Linked DNA regions of Anolis sagrei. The protein of the gene in region 1 purifies or fractionates together with the protein of each later gene. This does not show direct contact. Links are inferred from orthologs where the notes say so. Each region holds a gene or a part of one and is shown in the gene's direction. Other genes may lie near its edges. The genes, in order: MTMR2 and MTMR12.

The links.
Region 2: the proteins of MTMR2 (region 1) and MTMR12 purify together in Homo sapiens (affinity purification with mass spectrometry; 5 studies listed by BioGRID and IntAct, with this or other methods). This does not show direct contact. The link is inferred for Anolis sagrei from reciprocal best matches to the Homo sapiens genes MTMR2 and MTMR12.

What each region holds. Positions count from the first base shown.
Region 1 is NC_090023.1:20,351,561-20,361,457, reverse strand, and holds the start of MTMR2 (myotubularin-related protein 2), read left to right. Parts: upstream 1-5,253; 5' UTR 5,254-5,532; coding exon 5,533-5,621; intron 5,622-9,897. UniProt on the Homo sapiens protein: Lipid phosphatase that specifically dephosphorylates the D-3 position of phosphatidylinositol 3-phosphate and phosphatidylinositol 3,5-bisphosphate, generating phosphatidylinositol and phosphatidylinositol 5-phosphate.
Region 2 is NC_090022.1:281,060,346-281,070,129, forward strand, and holds the start of MTMR12 (myotubularin-related protein 12), read left to right. Parts: upstream 1-5,140; 5' UTR 5,141-5,235; coding exon 5,236-5,499; intron 5,500-9,784. UniProt on the Homo sapiens protein: Acts as an adapter for the myotubularin-related phosphatases. Regulates phosphatase MTM1 protein stability and possibly its intracellular location. By stabilizing MTM1 protein levels, required for skeletal muscle maintenance but not for myogenesis.

The sequences.
Region 1 (9,897 bases):
GTTGGCTAAGAACCATAAAAGGTGTCATTGCACTCATGTCCTTCTGCAAAGTGGGTTGAAAACTGTAAAAATCAATGCATTTATTACTGCATCCACCTCCACACACGTCACCTGGAATTTTCATTTTAGTCTTGTTAAAAGATGATTTATTAGTTTTCCTGTAGGAGATAACATAGCTACTTTCTGGAAACTCCTTCCTGACCAGAAAGGGCTGAAACTTTTCATGATATGGCTACACTGCCACACTTATGGGAAACATTGTCCATCTGCGTATTGTCGAAGGCTTTCATGGCCAGAATCACTGGGTTGTTGTAGGTTTTTTCAGGCTATATGGCCATGTTCTAAATGCCTGTAGAACATGGCCATATAGCCCGAAAAAACCTACAACAACCCATTGTCCATCTGCCATTGTTTGAGGACTGTCCAGACCATATTGTTCCCCTGGTGACTTTTCTGTGATTTCCTGACTTCCAATTCTTTTAAAAAAGGAAAGATGGGGGAAAACATGACTCTTCAGTACTGGAGAGGGTTTACAGTTAGAGAAGCCTCAAAAATTAAAAGCTATTTTACAGATTTTAATGTTTTTTCCTAGATTGCTGTGAGTTTTTGGGGCTATATGGCCATGTTTTAGTAGCATTCTCTTCTGACATTTTGCCTGCATCTGTGGCTGGCATCTTCAGAGGTCTGTTGGAGGTGAGGCATGTGGAGTGTGTGTGTGTGCGTGTGTGTGTATTCAAGCTATTGAAGCTTGCTAATTGCAACATTCACACTTGCATCAAACAAACAAGTGTTCTTTCTGCCACCCTGGATATTCCATCCATAGATAGATAGATAGATAGATAGATAGATAGATAGATAGATAGATAGATAGATAGTTGGAATATCCAAGGTGGGAGAAAGAAGCCTTGTCTGTTTGATGCAAGTGTGAATGTTCCAATTAGCAAGCTGGAATAGCACTGAGTAGCCATGAAGCTGCAAGTCAATCAGTGAGGTATCTGCATAGAGGTAGCCTGACCTTTGTTGCCTAGAGGCATCCTCTATTTTGGAGGTGTTAGTTGACACTTGTTTGCTTGCTGTCTGGAGTTTTCTTGTTTCTGAGTGGTGTTCATTATTTACTGTCTTGATTCTGGTGTTTTTTAATACTGGTAAACAGATTTTAATACAGTGCTCCCTCACTTATCACGGGTGTTACGTTCCAGGACCACCCATGAAAAGTGAAAATCTGTGAAGTAGGGATGCTATATTAATTTTAATTTAAAAAAATTGTCGTGTCAGGAGCAACTTGAGAGACTGCAAGTCGCTTCTGGTGTGAGAGAATTGACTGTCTGCAAGGACGTTGCCTGGTTGATGCCTAGGTGATTTGATGTTTTTATCCTCCTTGTAGGAGGCTTCCCTTATGTCCCTGCATGAGGAGCTGGAGCTGATAGAGGGAGCTCATCCGCCTCTCCTCAGATTTGAACTTGCGACCTGTCGGTCTTCATTCCTGCTGGCACAAGGGTTTAACCCACTGCACCACTGCAATTAAAAATGTTAATATTTATACATTATTTTAGTAGTTATACACTATAATTTTAGTAGTTATACACTATTTTAAGTCTTTATAGACCCTCCTCACATACTTATAGTCTTTATAGACCCTCCTCACTACACAACCCTCCTTGAACGTGTTGTTCACGTAATCCTTGGCTTTGGCTTTATCTGCAGAGGCAGCCTCTCTATGCAGACGAACACTCTTAAGTCCATATTGAAAAACCGCAAAACAGCGAGTCTGCGAAACGCGAACCGTGAAGTAGCGAGGGACCACTGTACTGGTAACCATACTGCCAGAAAACCTCACAGCAACCCAGTGATTCCGGCCATGAAAGCTTTCAACAACACAATTTATTTTCCTGTAATGTATATTGGATATTTCATGCTTCTCATTAGAACGTAGTGTGCAAGCTTTTCTAACTTTCCCTTTTACGCAGATGTTCCACCATAAGAAAAAGATGAAAGAAATAGTGAAAACATTAAAAAAGAAAGATCATGAATGACGGAATCACGGAGTTGTAAGAGGTTTCTTAGGCCATTGAGTCCAACCTATTGTTCAATATAGGAAATGTAACTAGAACATCTCCAGCAGGTCCATGGAAACGAGACTCCACAATCTAATGTTTAGTTGAAATTACTGTCTCAAGATGAACACGACTCAACAATGTGATGCGTCAGCTGGATCGGCCCTCAACTGCATCAATAGGATAGTGTCAAGATGAGAGATGTACTAGCCCCACTCTCTTCTAACATTTAGTTGAAATTACTGTCTCAAGCTGAACATGACTCAACAATGTGATGCGGCAGCTGGAACAGCTCTTGGATGCATCAATAAGAGGAGAGTGTCTAAGTGAGAGAAGTGCTAGTCCCACTCTATTCTGCTTTGGTCAGACCTCACCTGGAAGGCTGTAGCACCATAGATTCATAGAATAATTGTTCCGCGTCCTAGTCTCCAGGGCAGCAGAGTACAAGCTTGCTCCCTCCATCCTGTGACTTCCTCTCACATATTTATACATGGCTATCATGTCTCTTCTCAGCCTTCTCTTGCTTCAGGACGCGGAACAATGGCTTCAAACTACAAGAAAGGAGATTCCATCTGAAGGGCGTTGCACAGCCAAGGGGCCACCACTGAGAAGGCCTTGTCTCTCGTCCCCATCAATCGTACTTGTGGCACAGGTGGGACTGAGAACAGGTGGGACTGAGAACAGGGCCTCCTCAGACAATCTTAACACCCTAGCTGGTTCATAGGAGGAGATGCGTTTGGACAGGTAAGTTGGGCTAGAACCACTTAGGGCTTTATAGGGTAAAACCAGCACTTTGAATTGTGCCTGGTAGCAAACCGGCAGCCAGTGGAGCTGACGCAACAGAGGAGTTGTGTGCTCCCTGATCGCCGCTCCCGTTAGTAGCCTGGCTGCTGACCGTTGGACCATTTGAAGCTTCCAGACAGTCTTCAAAGGCAACCCCACGTAGAGAGCGTTGCAGTAGGGGCTTGTCTGATATCCTTGGAGAGTAAGTTCCAGAGTCGGGGGCCACCACAGAGAAGGCCCTCTCCTTCGTCCCCACCAATTGTGCCTGCAAAGGGGGAGGGAGCGAGAGCAGGGCCTCTCCAGATGATCGAACAGATTCCGTGGGTTCGTACACAGAAATGCAGCCATGCAGGTAGGTGGGTCCCAAACCGTTCAGGGCTTTGTAGGTAAGAAATTGCACCTTGAATTGGGACCAGAAAATGAATGGCAGCCAATGGAGTTCCTTAAACAGGGGGGTTGACTGCTCCCTGTAAGTCGCTCCAGTTAGACTAGACTCCTATTGATGCAGGCCAAAATCCCGTTTGCCGCAGCATCACATTGTTGGCTCAATGCAATTTTCCTGCTTCTCGGCAGGGGGTTGGACTGGATGGCCCACGAGTTCTCTTCCAACTCTAGGATTCTATGACTTGGAGGCTGGAAGGTGATAGGCTAGTCATGTTTACATGTTTAACAGTATTTCCAAGGACTTGAGCATACCTGGATTTCAATAAGGCATGTAGCGTACCTGGATTTCGATAAGGCCTTCGACAAGGTACCCCATGACCTTCTGGCAAACCAACTAGTCCAATGTGGGCTAGGCAAAACTACACTGAGGTGGATCTGTAATTGGTTAAATGGACGAACCCAGAGGGTGATTCTCACCAATGCTTCCTCTTCATCCTGGAAAGAAGTGACGAGCGGAGTGCCACAGGGTTCCGTCCTGGGCCCGGTCCTGTTCAACATCTTTATTAATGACTTAGATGAAGGGCTAGAAGGCAGGCTCATCAAGTTTGCAGACGACACCAAATTGAGAGGGATAGCCAATATTCCACAGGACAGGAGCAGGATTCAAAACGACCTTGACAGTTTAGAGAGATGGGCCAAAATTAACAAAATGAAGTTCAACAGTGAAAAATGCGAGATACTCCACTTTGGCAGGAAAAATGAAATGCAAAGATACAAAATGGGGGACAATGCCTGGCTCGAGAGCAGTACGTGTGAAAAAGATTTTGGGGTCCTTGTGGACAAGTTAAACATGAGCCAACAATGTCATGTGGCGGCAAAAAAGCCAATGCGATTTTGGCCTGCATCAATAGGAGCAGGCCCGTAGCCAGGATTTCGTTTCGGGGGGGGCTAAAAAAATTTCAGGGGGGGTTTCGGGGGGGGGCTGAGTTTCGGGGGGGGGGCTGAGTCTGAGTGAAAGAGGGTCTAGCCTAGCAAACCTTTTGTATCATTACCCCAATACCCCCATACATATGGGATATATTGAGAATGGTGATCAAATCATGATATTAATAAACATAACTGTTTAAATAATGCACCAGTAAGGCCTTTTCGCGAACCACCATGAGAATTTCGGGGGGGGGCTGAAGCCCCCCGAGCCCCCCCCCCTGGCTACATGCCTGAATAGGAGGATAGTGTCTAGATCCAGGGAAGTAATGCTACCCCTCTATTCTGCTTTGGTTAGACCACACCTGGAATATTGTGTCCAATTCTGGGCACCACAATTGAAGAGAGATATTGACAAGCTGGAATGTGTCCAGAGGAGGGTGACTAAAACGATCAAGGGTCTGGAGAACAAGCCCTATGAGGAGCGGCTTAAGGAGCCGGGCATGTTTAGCCTGAAGAAGAGAAGGCTGAGAGGAGAGATGAAAGCCATGTATAAATATGTGAGAGGAAGCCACAGGGAGGAGGGAGCAAGCTTGTTCTCTGCTTCCTTGGAGACTAGGACGCGGAACAATGGCTTCAAACTACAAGAGAGGAGATTCCATCTGAACATGAGGAAGAACTTCCTGACTGTAAGAGCCGTTCAGCAGTGGAACTCTCTGCCCTGGAGGGAGTGTGGTGGAGGCTCCTTCTTTGGAAGCTTTTAAACAGAGGCTGGATGGCCATTTGTCAGGGGTGACTTGAATGCAATATTCCTGCTTCTTGGCAGGGGGTTGGACTGGATGGCCCATGAGGTCTCTTCCAACTCTTTGATTCTATGATTCTATGACTTGGAGGCGGAAAGGTGATAGGCTAGCCATGTTTACATGTTTAACAGGATCTCCATGGACTTGAGCATCCAGGGATGTGGGCGTCCCAGGGAAGGGGGTCTTGGGAGCCAAGCCCAGCGGATAGCGAGGGCTGAATGTGCCCCAAAGCTTGGAAAGGGGAGGGAGGGAAGGAGCCGGCGTTGGCCGCTTGTGCTTCTGTCTCCTGCCTCCCGCGAAGCGGCTCCTCCCGAAGCGGAGGAGGGAGGCTGAGCATCGAGCATCACATCCCCGCCTAGCAATGCGCACTGCACTGTGGGCTCAACATGGCAGCGCCCGCGCCCTCTCCACTCCCTTGACAGCAGCAGCAGCAGCAACAGCCTGATCTATCTATCTTTCCCCCATTCATCTCTCTATCTACCTACCTATTTCTCCTCCTCCCCTCCGCTCCTCTCTTTCTTTCTCTCCCTTTATCTTTCTATCTCTTCCCTCCCATTCTCTCTCTGTCTCTCCTTCCTCCAGCCATGGAGAAGAGTTCCAGCTGCGAGAGCCTGGCCTCCAAGCCGGCGCCTCCTTCTACCACCCGCCAGCCCAGCATCGACTCTCTCTCCAGGTAACGGCGTTACTTCTCGTTACTCGTTACTCCCCCGCAGCGCCGCCCAAGGGGGAAGGAAAGAGGGAGGGAGGGAAGAGGGGGAATGTCGTGACTTTTCAGCTCTGATCCTTCCACCCATCTCCAGATTGCAGGGAAATGTGTGCTTCTAACCAACTCACCTCCCTATCAGAAAAGAGGATTTGGTTTCCAAAGGATGTGCAATAAGATGCTCAAGGCCTGGGGGGGATTTGAGGGCAGGGCTTTTGTATCCTCACTGAGTGGCCTTGGGGTGAGTCACACTCTCTCAGCTGGTGGTAAAGCTTCTGCAAACAGAGGTGCATCTACTCCAGGAATGGGCAAACTTCAGCCCTCCAAATGTTGTGGATTTCGACTCCCACAATTCCTAACATTTCCTAGGAAGGCCGAAGTTAGCCCATGCCTGATCTACACTGAAGAATTAATGCAGTCTGGCATCAAACTACAAGAGAGGAGATTCCATCTGAACATGAGGAAGAACTTCCTGACTGTGAGAGCCGTTCAGCAGTGGAACTCTCTGCCCCAGTGTGTGGTGGAGGCTCCTTCTTTGGAAGCTTTTAAACAGAGGCTGGATGGCCATCTGTCAGGAGTGCTTTGAATGCAATTTTCCTGCTTCTTGGCAGGGGGTTTGGACTGGATGGTTCACGAGGTCTCTTCCAACTCTATGAATGCAATATTCCTGCTTCTTGGCAGGGGGTTGGACTGGATGGCCCATGAGGTCTCTTCCAACTCTTTGATTCTATGATTCTATCAATTTAACTACCATAGCAGAGTCCCCGGTGTGCCAGCAGGACTGACGACTGACAAGTCGGGGATTCTAATCCGGGAAGAGTGCAGATGAGCTCCCTCTGTCAGCTCCAGTTTCATGAAAAAAGCCTACCAAAAGGATGGTAAAACATCAAACACCCAGGTGTCCCCTAGGCAACATCCTTGCAGACGGCCAGTTCTCTCACACCAGAAACAACTTGCAGTTTCTCAAGTCGCTCCTGACATGAAAAAAAAAAGTCTATTTCACCTTTGACTTTATGGTGACTTATGAATAAGGAGCACCCAGTGGTGCAATGGATTAAACATTTATGCCAGCAGGACTGAAGACTGACAAGTCAGAGGTTGGAATCTGGGGAGAGCACGGATGAGCTCCCTATGCAGGGACATGAGAGAAGCTTGCCACAAGGATGGTAAAACATCAAAACATCCAGGCGTTCCCTGGGCAATGTCCTTGCAAATGGCCAATTCTCTCATACCAGAAGCGACGTGCAGTTTCTCAAGTCGTTTCTGACATTAAAAAAGTTTGTCTACTTGACCTTTGACTTATTGTGACTCATGAATAAGAAGCTCCTGGTAGTGCAATGGGTAAATCCTTGTGCCAGCAGGACTGAAGACCGACAGGTTGGAGGTTCAAATCCGGGGAAAGCACAGATGAGCTCCCTCTGTCAGCTCCAGCTCCCTATGCAGGGACATGAGAGAATCCTGCCACAAGGATGGTAAAACATCAAAACATCCGGGCATCCCCTAGGCAATGCTATGGGATTTTGGAGGCATAACTTGACCAGATTTTGTAGCCTTCTCTGCCAAAGAGGGCTTGTGCCTCCCCAAAATACAACTCATTAGATTCCATCGCATTGAACCATACATAGTGGTGTCAAGGTGCATTGATTCTACCAAGTAGATGCACTCCATGACCATGACATCTAGTCCGGCGGCACATAGATAATTATGTCGTCCTTCCCCCATCTGGTGCTTCTCTATGTGATGAACTACAGTTCCCATAATCCCCAGAGAGTGCCTGTGAAATCTAGTTGTTTATGAACAGTAATCAATCTCTCATTTCATCTCGATTCCCCTCAGCTCAGAACTATATAATTTAGACTGAAAGCAAGAAGTGGCTCCTATACCTTTGTTGGTTTATAGAAAAGGGGATTTCAGTGGGTGTTGCTTAGAATCATAGAGTTGGAAAAGATTACAAGAGACAATCCCATTCTGCCATGCAGTAGAACACAATCAAAGTACTCTCAACAGATGGAAGTCCAGCCTCTGCTTAAGAACTTCCACAGCAGGAGCTCCGCTACAGTCCCAGGCAGCAAACTCCACTTGCGGAAGAGCTCTTATCACCAGGAAGTGCTTCCTAATGTTTACATGGAATCTCTTTTCCTGTAATTTGAATCCATTGCTCCATGTCCTAGACTTCAGAGCAGCAGAAAACAAGTGTTCCCTTCCTTGATCTGACATCCTTTCAGATCCTTAAACATGGCTATTATGTCTTAACCTTCTTTTCTCCAAGCGACTCATGCTCAGCTCCCGAAATAAGCCATTCCTCATAGGGATTGGCTTCCAGACCTTTGGCTGTTTTGGTTGCCCTTCTCTGGACACATTCTATGTTGTCCATATCCTTCTTTGATTGTGTTGTCCTGAACCGGACACAGGGTTATTCTAGGTGAGGTCTGACCAAAGCAGAATAGAGTGGGACTGTGACTTCCCTCCATCTAGAGCTGTGGTTCTTAAATTTCCGAATGCCACGACCCCTTAATACAGTTCCTCATGTTGTGGTGACCCCCAACCATAACATTATTTTCATTGCTTCTTCCCAACTGTAATTTTGGTACTGTTATGAATCGTAATGTAAATATCTGATATGCAGGATGTATTTTCATTCACTGGACCAAATTTGGCACAAATGCCCGATATGCCAAAATCTGAATATTGGTGGGGTTGGAAGGGGGAATTGATTTGGTCATTTGGGAGTTGTAGTTGCTAGGAGTTGTAGTTGCTACATGTAGTTGCTCATGTACAATCAAAGAGCATTCTGATCTCCACCAGCGATGGAATTGAACCAGAATTGGCACACAGAACTCCCACGACCAAGAGAAAATACTGGAAGGGTTTGGTGGGCATTGACCTTGAATTTTGGAGTTGTAGTTCACCTACCTCCAGAGAGCACTATGGACTCAAACAATAATGGATCTGGACCAAACTAGGCATTAATACTCAACATGCCCAAACGTGAACACTGGTGGAGTTTGGGGAAAATAGACCTTGTCATTTGGGAGTTGTAATTGCTGGGATTTATAGTTCACCTGCAATCAAAGAGCACTCTGAACCCAGCCCTCAATGGATCTGTGCCAAACTTGGCACACTATCTACATGGCCAGCCAGAGGCCAGTAAGCAAACAGTATTTTCAACGGTAAGCAAACAGTATTTTGCCCCCCCCCCCCCCGCCCAACCAATCATTGATATATATTTTCTGTTCGTCGTGGGAGTTCTGTGTGCCATATTTGGTTCAATTCCATCATTGGTGGAGTTCAGAATGCTCTTTGATTGTAGGTGAACTATACCTCCCAGTAACTACAACTCGCATATGTCAATGTCTATTTTCTTCCAAGAGTTCCTCAAGAGTTCCTCAAGTATACTGCGAATGCTTACTTTGCATAATGGGTTGAGCCACCCCTGTGGCCAGCATTGAGTACTGGTAGGGTTGGGGTGGGGACTGTTTTTGGATTCTGGGAGTTGTAGTTCACCGACACCAAAAAGGAAGAGAAGGATAGGTGGAGAGAACTTCAGCCTTCTCTGCCAAGGGGGCACCTAAGATCATCAGAAATATGTGTTTCCTGGTTATCTTTGGCGACCCCTCTGAAACCCCCTGTGCAACCCCTCCAGGGGTCCCAAACCCCAGGTTGAGAGGCACTTATCTATAGACACCATACTTCTATTGATGCAGCCTAGAATTACAATGGCTTTTTTAGCTTCCACATCACACTGTTGACTCACGTCCAGCTTGTGGTCAACTAAGACTTCTACCTCCCTTTCACAAGTAGTTTTTTCAAGCCAGATGTCACCCACCCTATATCTGTGCATTTCATTTGTATTGACCAAGTGTAGTACTGTCTTATGTCTGATCTAAACTGCTGATCATGCCTGGCTAGCAACTGATATCTGGAAGCCAAGCTGCAGATAGTTCACATTACACAAAACATGTGGAGATAAGACTTCAGCCTATAAATTTTGCATGAGAATCATGTGCTTTACTGCTGAGCCATGGTTCCACTTAAAGAACCTTGAAAATGCTCTTTTCCCAAGAACTGTGTTGCATCTACTTTGTGGTGCCAAATCCCTTTTTGCTGATGTTTGCATCTGGACCCAACAAGATGCTGTGGCCTGGATGGCAATGCCTTTGAAACTTCAAAGCCCCAAGATCTCCACATTTTAATTAAAAAGTAGGTTGTAATAAGTTATGTGAACTGTCCTGCTGAGGCATTATTG
Region 2 (9,784 bases), on another chromosome or scaffold:
GAAAGAGACTAAGGGAGACAAAGAGAATACAAAGATGCAGATATAGTGGATAATGCACCAGGGTGCACATTTATTTAGGTTTAGAAACAATATAACTATTAAAAGGAGAAAGACACTTGCAAAAAGTATCCTGGGTGCCAGAGCGTTGATCGTCCATAAAATGGGAGATTTAAACATAAAAGGTTCTAGCTGGCTGCTGCTTGTCCCCACCGCAGTTCCAGCAAGAGAATTAATTATATGTATTGTCAAAGGCTTTTTCCCAACAAGGGATCCCCCAGGCAGCAACCAGCCAGGCACTGAAGCTACAAGACCATTAAATGCTAATCAAGGTAGCCAACAGCAACATTCATACTTGCCTCAAGCAGACAAGATTTCTTTCTCCCACCCTGGACATTATTCCACAGATATATAAACCTCACTTTCCTAGTTTCCAAAAGACCTCACAACCTCTGAGGATGCCTGCCAAAAATGCAGGTGAAACATCAGGAGAGAATGCTTCTAGAACATGGCCATACAGCCTGAAAAAGTCACAGAAACCCAGAATTAAATATAATTTGGTGGAGGAGGAGAGCACACGCTAAGACACTCTAAGTGGCCAGCTTCTGATCAATGGAAATTTAGTCCACGATATGAGAGTGTGGAGGAGAGCAAACCACAGACCACTTAATACAATGCAGTCTGAGCCCTGCCACGTGCACAATGGAGGACCTTCTTACAGTGACACCAGAGCCACTCCAAGTGGCCAGCTTCTGGTCAAAGAGAGGAAGAACTGTTTAACGCTACAGACCATGTAGTCAATGTTGTCCATTTTTGGTCTATAATTATTTAGCTGCTTGTGCTCCCTTTAATTTATCAGTTTGATATTTATTTATGCAATGCTTTTGACAGGAAGTAATAACAGTTTGCCATGGAATTCATCTCACCTTTAAGTGATCAGCAATCAATGTATTGTCAAAGACTTTCATGGAATCACTGGGTTGCTGTAAGTTTTTTGGGCTGTATGGCCATGTTCCAGAAGCATTCTCTCCTGATGTTTCACCTGCATTTATGTCAGGCATCTTAAGAGGTTGTGAGGTCTGTTAGAAACTAGGAAAATTGGGTTTATATATCTCTGAAATGTCCAGGGTGGGAGAAAGAACTCTTGTCTGTTGGAGGTAGGTATGAATGTTTCAATTGGCCATGATACCATGCAGCTGTGGACAACTCTACATAGGGACCACCAAACGCAGCATTGCCCGAACATGAATGGTACTGCAGACTAGCTCAACCACAGAAGTCAGCCATAGCAGAGCACCTGATGAACCATCCTGGTCACAGCATATTATTTGAGAACACATAAATGCTGGACCACTCCAACAACCACCATGTCAGGCTACACAGAGAAGCCACTGAAATCCACAAGCATGTGGACAATTTCAACAGACAGGAGGAAACCATGAAAATGAACAAAATCTTGCTACTACTATTTAAAAAAAAACCTCTAAAATCATAACAGCAAATAAAGAACAACATTCAAAAACAGGGGAACTCCAGACAAGAAACTACCAGGGACAGTTAATCACCTCTCAACAAAGGATTCCCCCAGGCAGTAAGAAGCCAGACCTTGAAAACTGCTCGGCTATTAAATGCTAATCAAGGTGGCCAATTGAAACATTCACACCTACCTCAACAGACAAGAGTTCTTTCTCCCACCCTGGACATGATACCACAGATATGTGGAATTTATGTGAATGTCCTCCAATAGTTGTAGTCTTCTAACCACCAACCCAATACAAAAAAAGGGGAAAAAAGAAAAAAAAGAGGATGCCTGCCATAGATGTAGGCGAAACGTCAAGAGAGAATGCTTCTAGAGGATAATAGTATTAATATTAATAATTAATACTTTATTTATACCCCACCACCAACTCCTCAACGGAGACTCAGGGCGGCTAACATGAGGCCAAGCCCAACAATTACAACAAATCGAAATAAAATACATACAACAAATAATAACCCCAAATGAAATATAAACAAAACAAATTAATACAAAATCAAATAAAGGAAATGAAATAAAATAATAAAAATGTGCACACTGGGCTGGGCCGAGTTAAAGGGGTAGAATTAAAATATACAAACCCTGGGTGAGATGGATGAGTAGGGTAGTGTGCGTGATGGGGGGATTTCAGGTGGGAACAGCAATGGGGAGAATATCATTGAAGGATGAGATAAAGTGCATCAATGGGCATATTGTGCTGAGCTGGTCATGGTACGGGGATTGTATTCATTCCTCAAAGGTACACCAAAACAGCCAGGTTTTTAGGCTCTTCCTGAAGGCTGCCAGGGTGATAGTATGATAGCTGGGTCCAGAAGCTCCAAGTGTTACGGAGATGCCGCAAAGGCGGCTGTGAATAAGGAAAGAGAGGCTGCGGGGGGAGAGCGGGGAGAGAGAAGGAAGGATTAAAAAGAGGGGACGCTTAGGGTAAGGGTTAGGACAAGGTTTAGGGTTTGGGTTATGGTTAGGGTAAGGGTAAGGGTTAGGAGTTACGGTTAGGGTACAGTTTAGGATAAGGGTTAGGGCAAGCTTTAGGGTTTGGGTTAGGGTTAGGGTAAGAGTTAGGGGTTACGGTTAGGGTATAGTTTAAGGTTAGGTTAAGGGCTAGGGCAAGGTTTAGGGTTTGAGTTAGAGTTAGGGTAAGAGTTAGGGGTTACGGTTAGGGTACGGTTTAGGGTTAGGGTAAGGGTTAGGGCAAGGTTTAGGATTTGGGTTAGGGCTACGATTAGGGTACGGTTAAGGGCTAGGGCAAGGTTTAGGGTTTGAGTTAGGGTTATGGTTAGGGGTTACAGTTAGTGTACGGTTTAGGGTTAGGGTAAGGGATAGGGCAAGATTTAGGGTTTGGGTTATGGTTAGGGTAAGGGTTGGGGTTACGGTTAGGGTACAGTTTAGGGTTAGGGTCAGGGTTAGGGCAAGGTTTAGGGTTTGGGTTATGGTTAGGGTAAGGGTTAGGGGTTATGGTTAGGGTACAGTTTAGGGTTAGGGTTAGGACAAGGTTTAGGGTTTGGGTTATGGTTAGGGTAAGGGGTTACGGTTAGGGTACGGTTTAGAGTTAGGTTAAGGGTTAGGGCAAGGTTTAGGGTTTGGGTTATGGTTAGGGTAAGGGTTAGGGGTTACGGTTGGGGTACAGTTTAGGTTTAGGGCAAGGTTTAGGGTTTAGGTTAGAGTAAGGTTAGGGGTTATGGTTAAGGTACAGTTTAGGGTTAGGTTAAGGATTAGGTTAAGGTTTAGGGTTTTGGTTAGGGTTATGGTAAGGGGTTATGGTTAGGGTACAGTTTAGGGTTAGGGTAAAGGTTAGGGCAAGGTTATCATACTATTACCGCTGCCAGGGTGGGCTCTTGGCTAATCTCTCCGGGTACCCAATTCCAAAGCCGAGGGGCCACCATGGAGAAGGATCTCTCCCTTGTCCCCACAAGTCGTGCTTGAGAAGGAGGGGGAAGCGAGAGGAGGGCCTCCCCTGGGGATGGGAAATAATAATAATAACACTTTATTTCTACCCCGCTACCATCTCCCCAAGGGACTTGGTGCGGCTTACATGAGGCCGAGCCCAAACACAACAATACAAGCAATCGCAGCGCCCAAACACGAATCAAGGAACATGTAAGGCACTGCAGACTACTTCAACCAGAGAAGTCAGCCATAGCAGAGCACCTGATGAACCAGCCTGGACACAGCATATTATTTGAGAACACAGAAATGCTGGACCACACCAACAACCACCATGTCAGACTACACAGAGAAGCCATTGAAATCCACAAGCATGTGGACAATTTCAACAGAAAGGAAGAAACCATGAAAATGAACAAAATCTGGCTACCAGTATTAAAAAACTCTAAAATTACAACAGCAAAACAGCAGAGAGGAAACAACCAGGCACATCTTAACACCTCTCAGCAAAAGATTTTCCCAGGCTCAGGCAGGCCTTCAAATGCTAATGAAGGTGGTCAGTTGAAACATTCACACCTAGCTCCAGCAGAGAAGAGCTCCTTGCCCCACCCCAGCCATTCCACAGATATATAAACACTTTTTCCTATTTCCAACAGACCTCACTACCTCTGAGGATGCTTGCCATAGATGCAGGAGAAACGTCAGGAGAAGTGCCTCTAGAACATGGCCATATAGCCCAAAAAAACCTACAAGAACCTAGAAAATATATATCAATAATTGGTTGGGGGAGGAGGGGGCGCCAAAATATTGTTTGCTTACCGTTGAAAATTACCTAGGGCCTCCTCTGCTTGCGAGGGAGGGGGAAGCGAGAGGAGGGCCTCCCCAGAGGATGAAAAAGGTCCTGCATAGCCATAGTAAAGGTAAAGGTTGTCCCCTGACATTAAGTCCAGTCATGTCTGACTCTGGGGTGTGGTGCTCATCTCCATTTCTAGGCCGAAGAGTCAGCGTTGTCCATAGACACGTCCAAGGTCATGTGGCCAAGGTCATGTGGCCGGCATGACTGCATGGAGCGCCGTTACCTTCCCGCCGGAGCGGTACCTATTGATCTACTCACATTTGCATGTTTTCGAACTGCTAGGTTGGCAGAAGCTAGGGCTGACAGCGGAAGCTCACGCCGCTCCCCGGAATCAAACCTGCGACCTTTCGATCAACAAGCTCAGCAGTTCAGTGCTTTAACCCACTGTGCCACTGGGGGCTCCCATACTGGGATATATAGTTCACCTAAAATCAAAGACCATTCTGAACTCCACCAATGATGGAATTGAACCCAATATGGCACACAGAACTCCCACGGGGAACAGAAAATATATATCAATAATTGGTTGGGGGGGGGGGGGGCCGCCAAAATATTGTTTGAAAATTACCTAGGGCCTCCTCTGCTTGCGAGGTAGGTGGAAGCGAGGGGAGGGCCTCCCCAGAGGATGAAAAAGGTCCTGCATAGCCATACAGCCCTAAAAACTTACAGCAACCTGATCAGCAATCAGTTGCTTGTCTTTACAGTCCTTGATTGTCTTGATTGGAGGTTATGGCTGTCAGTCTGGGGAACGACCCCGCCCTCGGCTCCTCCCAGAGCAGCGACAGAAGCGGGGAGAGGCGCTGTGATTGGCTGCCCGCCGGCCCAATGGCGGGGCGGGGCGCGGGAGGCGCGTGAGCAGAAATGGAGCTCCGCGCGCGTGCGTGCCACACCCGAGAGGCGAGGAGAGCCAGAAGTAGCAGCACTAGAAGCACTAGAAGCAGCGGCGTTGGCGTTGCCTGCGATGGGAGGGATTAACTACGTGAGACGGAGCAAGGCGGCGTTAGCGAGAGAGGAGGAGAACCAAGAGGAGGGGGAGGAGGGCGCGGAGTCCTCGTGGGAGGAGCTGCCCACGCCGCCGCCCTCGCCTTCGCCCTCCTCGCCGTGGGGGAAGCCGGCCGGGGCCTGCGCCTGGGGCCCGCAGAGGGGCGCAGAGATGCTCGGCGCAGCCGGCGGCGCGGGGCCCAAGGCAGCCAAGCCCTCCTTCGTCTCCTACATCAGCCCCGAGGTGAGCCAGCGGAGGGGAAGGAAGGAAGGAAGGAAGAAGCCCTTGGCAAGGAAGGAGAGCGGCCGTTGGGAGGCCGAGGGAGGGAGGGAGGGGGGAAGGGGCGCGAGGGCGAGGCGCGCGGAAGGGGGCGTGGCCACAAGGGAAAAAGGGGCGTGGCCCAAAAAAGAGGGCTTGCCTCTGCCTGGCTGAGCCCTTGCTGATTTCTTTATGGCATTTCTGTGCCGCCCTTCTCACCCCGAAGGGGACTCAGAGCAGCTTACAAGATATATCTATATACATACAATATGTTATATTATTAGCCTAGCACAATATCAGTGTTACATATAACTATATTGTAGTAAACCATTATACTGTAATATTATTAGTAATATTACATATCTATATTCTATATTGTTGTTGTTCATTCGTTCAGTCCTCTCCGACTCTTCATGACCTCATGGACCAGCCCACGCCAGAGCTCCCTGTCGGCCGCCACCACCCCCAGCTCCTTCAAGGTCTATATCTTGTTCATTTCTTCAGTCGTCTCCGACTCTTCGTGACCTCATGGACCAGCCCACGCCAGAGCTCCCTGTCGGCCGCCACCACCCCCAGCTCCTTCAAGGTCTATATCTTGTTCATTTCTTCAGTCGTCTCCGACTCTTCGTGACCTCATGGACCAGCCCACGCCAGAGCTCCCTGTCGGCCGCCACCACCCCCAGCTCCTTCAAGGTCTATATCTTGTTCATTTCTTCAGTCGTCTCCGACTCTTCGTGACCTCATGGACCAGCCCACGCCAGAGCTCCCTGTCGGCCGCCACCACCCCCAGCTCCTTCAAGGTCTATATCTTGTTCATTTCTTCAGTCATCTCCGACTCTTCGTGACCTCATGGACCAGCCCACGCCAGAGCTCCCTGTCGGCCGCCACCACCCCCAGCTCCTTCAAGGTCTATATCTTGTTCATTTCTTCAGTCGTCTCCGACTCTTCGTGACCTCATGGACCAGCCCACGCCAGAGCTCCCTGTCGGCCGCCACCACCCCCAGCTCCTTCAAGGTCTATATCTTGTTCATTTCTTCAGTCGTCTCCGACTCTTCGTGACCTCATGGACCAGCCCACGCCAGAGCTCCCTGTCGGCCGTCACCACCCCCAGCTCCTTCAAGGTCAGTCCAGTCACTTCAATGATGCCATCCATCCATCTTGCCCTTGGTCGGACCCTCTTCCTTTTGCCTTCCACCTTCCCCAGCATAATTGCCTTCTCCAGGCTTTGCTGTCTCCTCGTGATGTGGCCAAAGTACTTCGGCTTTGTCTCTAGTATCCTTCCCTCCAATGAGCAGCCGGGCTTTATTTCCTGGAGGATGGACTGGTTGGAGTCCAAGGCACTCTCAGAACTTTCCTCCAGCACCACAGCTCAAAAGCATCAATCTTCCTTCGCTCAGCCTTCCCTAAGGTCCATAGGGAACCTTTCAAAGGCGCTTTGCTACTGCCTTCTTCTTAGAATGAGATTGTGACTTCCTGGTACAGAGGAAGAATTGTTGGAGGCTACAGACAATGCTGTTGCCTGTTTTTGGTCAAAAGATATTTAGCCACTTGAACTCCTATTTTTTATATGAAATAAACTTCCTGATCCCCTGAGTCCTTGACCAATTCTCCGTCTTCTACACCACATTGATATATAGCTACCTATTTTTGTTATATTATTGCTACACCACACTGATATTTAGCTAGCTATTTTCTTTACATAACTGTATGCTGCCTTGAAACAAAATTAGATTAATTGGCAAAAGACACACACATTGGTGCCTGTCTTCAGGAGTTTTGGACTTCAGCTCTCACAATTCCTAAATTTAAGTTGGAATGGGTACATTTTAAGTGCAACTCCAGCCGGATAGATGGATAGTTCTGGATAGTATAGAGAACAGTTAACACCCCTGTAGTTTTTCTTCTGCTGCCTGTGACCCTGTTCAGAGGATTTTACCTCACTTTCTCTCCCTGTGATAATTGGATTTTGAATTGGATTTATTATTATTACCAGTATCCTTTCCTAACACAATTGGAACTCGAAAGCAGGCTTACAACTTGAAAGAGCACCATAATTATGTCATGAAAGGGAACGTTACAATAGAACTAAAGCAACTCAAGTTGAAAGTGTAATTATTCGTAGTAGTTACTATGTTGTTATTAGTTTTACAGTATTTCCTCCCACAGTTATGACTCAGAGCAGGCTCACATGGAAAGGGAACATTGCAATGAAGTTGAACTATTTACTATATTAAAGCAACCTATACCTCAAGTTCAAAGAGTAGTGGCTGTGCCATAGTACTTACTATTGTTATTAGTATTTCTCTTATTATTCCACTTTCCTCCCACACTTGAGGCTCAAAGGAGGCTCATGATTTCAAAGGAGACCACAAATGTATACAGAAAAGAAACATTAGAATATAATTTAACTATTTATTGTATTAAAGTAGCTCATACCTCAAGTCCAAAGCATAGTTATTAATATATGTTATTCCATTATTATTGCCTTGCTGTTATTGGTATTACTTTTATTACTCTTTATTTTATTATTTCACTTCATTCCCACAATAATGTCTCAAAGCAGGCTCAGAACTCCAGAGAACACCACAAATGCATACTGAAAGGGAACATTACGATAGAGTAGAACTATTTACCATATTAAAACCATTCACACCTCAACTTCAAAGAGCAGTTGCTATGCTGTTATTAGTGTTACTACAGTATTCTGCTTTCCTTACTTAGTGGGAACTCCAAGCAGGTTGACAACTTCAAATAATACCACAAATACACCCAGAAAGGGAACTTTACAATGCAATTAAACCAGCTCAAGCTTCAAGTTTAATGAGTAGCTGTTATTAGTAGTTAATATTCTACTATTATTAGTATTGCTACAGTGTTATTCCACTTTCCTCCCACAGTTGGGACTTAAAGCAGGCTTACAACCAAAAAGACCAAATGTCACAGTTGCGAACATGACAAAAAGTTAATTGTAAAACAGAATTAAACTATTCGTTGTAGTGAAACAACTCAAGGCTCAAGTTCAAAGAGTAGTTCAGTTGTTCTCAGCCTTTGGTCCTCCAGGTGCTTTTGACTTTTGCCTCCACAACTCCTAACAGCTGGCAAGCTAGCTGGGATTTCTGAAACTGCAAAACACCTGGAGGACCAAAGGCAGAGAACCACTGGTAGTTATTAGTAGTTACTGTGCTACTATTAGTAGTGTTAATATTACTTTTCTGTTTTCCTCTCACAGTTGGGGATCAAATAAGTTATTAGTATTTTAAATTTTATTATCCTGCATTCTTTCCACAATTGAACTTTATTGCAGACTCACAATTTAAAAGGCCACCACAGTACAAACACACAGAAAGTGACTGTTACAATATAATTAAACTGTATTAAAACAGCTCACACAACAGTTGTTGCTGTGCCATTATTAGTTGCTATGCCATTGTTAGTTGTTACTATGTTGTTTTTGTTATTAGGCTTTATTAGTATTACTATAGTATTATTCCATTTTCCTCACACAATTGGGATCCAAAACAGGCTTCTAAGTTTAAAAACCAACAGTGCAACTGCTAACACAACAGAAAGCAAACATTAAAATAGAATTAACCTATGTACTATATTAAAACAACTTACACTTCAAGTTGAAATAATAAAATACTATTTAAAAATATTTTTTAAAGCCCTCAGAAACAGTTTAGTTAAAGAAATACAAAATCCTGTAACCATTTAAAATTATTATTAATATTATGGCTACTTTTATTATATCTCACCTTTCCCCCCTCAGGATTGATCCCACCTTTTAACAAGGTCTTAGCTTTTAAAATGTGTTAAATGTTTTATCCTGTTAATTTATACTATATGATTATGTTACTTATGGTTTATTTAAGTTGTTTTTTGGTTAATTTTTTTTGTATTAAGTTTGCAGTTAGGTTGTTTGTATTTTGTTAGATGTATTATGTTTTGGTCTAGTTTGTTTATATGTTCTTTGTAGGAATTGAATGTTTGGAAACCACCCTGAGTCCCTTTGGGGAGATAGGGCAGTCTGCAAATAAAGTTTATTATTATTATTATTATTATTATTACTACTACTACTACTACTACTACTACTACCCAAAGTGTATCACAGTTTTAAAAGCCATACAGTTAAACACACATCAAAGGTAAATATTTAAATAGAATTAAATGTGTTGCCATTATTAAAACATTTCAGTTAAAATATAATTGTAAAATAATTTAAAATGCTTTAGAGAAGAACTTTGCTAAACAATACAACACCTCCTACAAA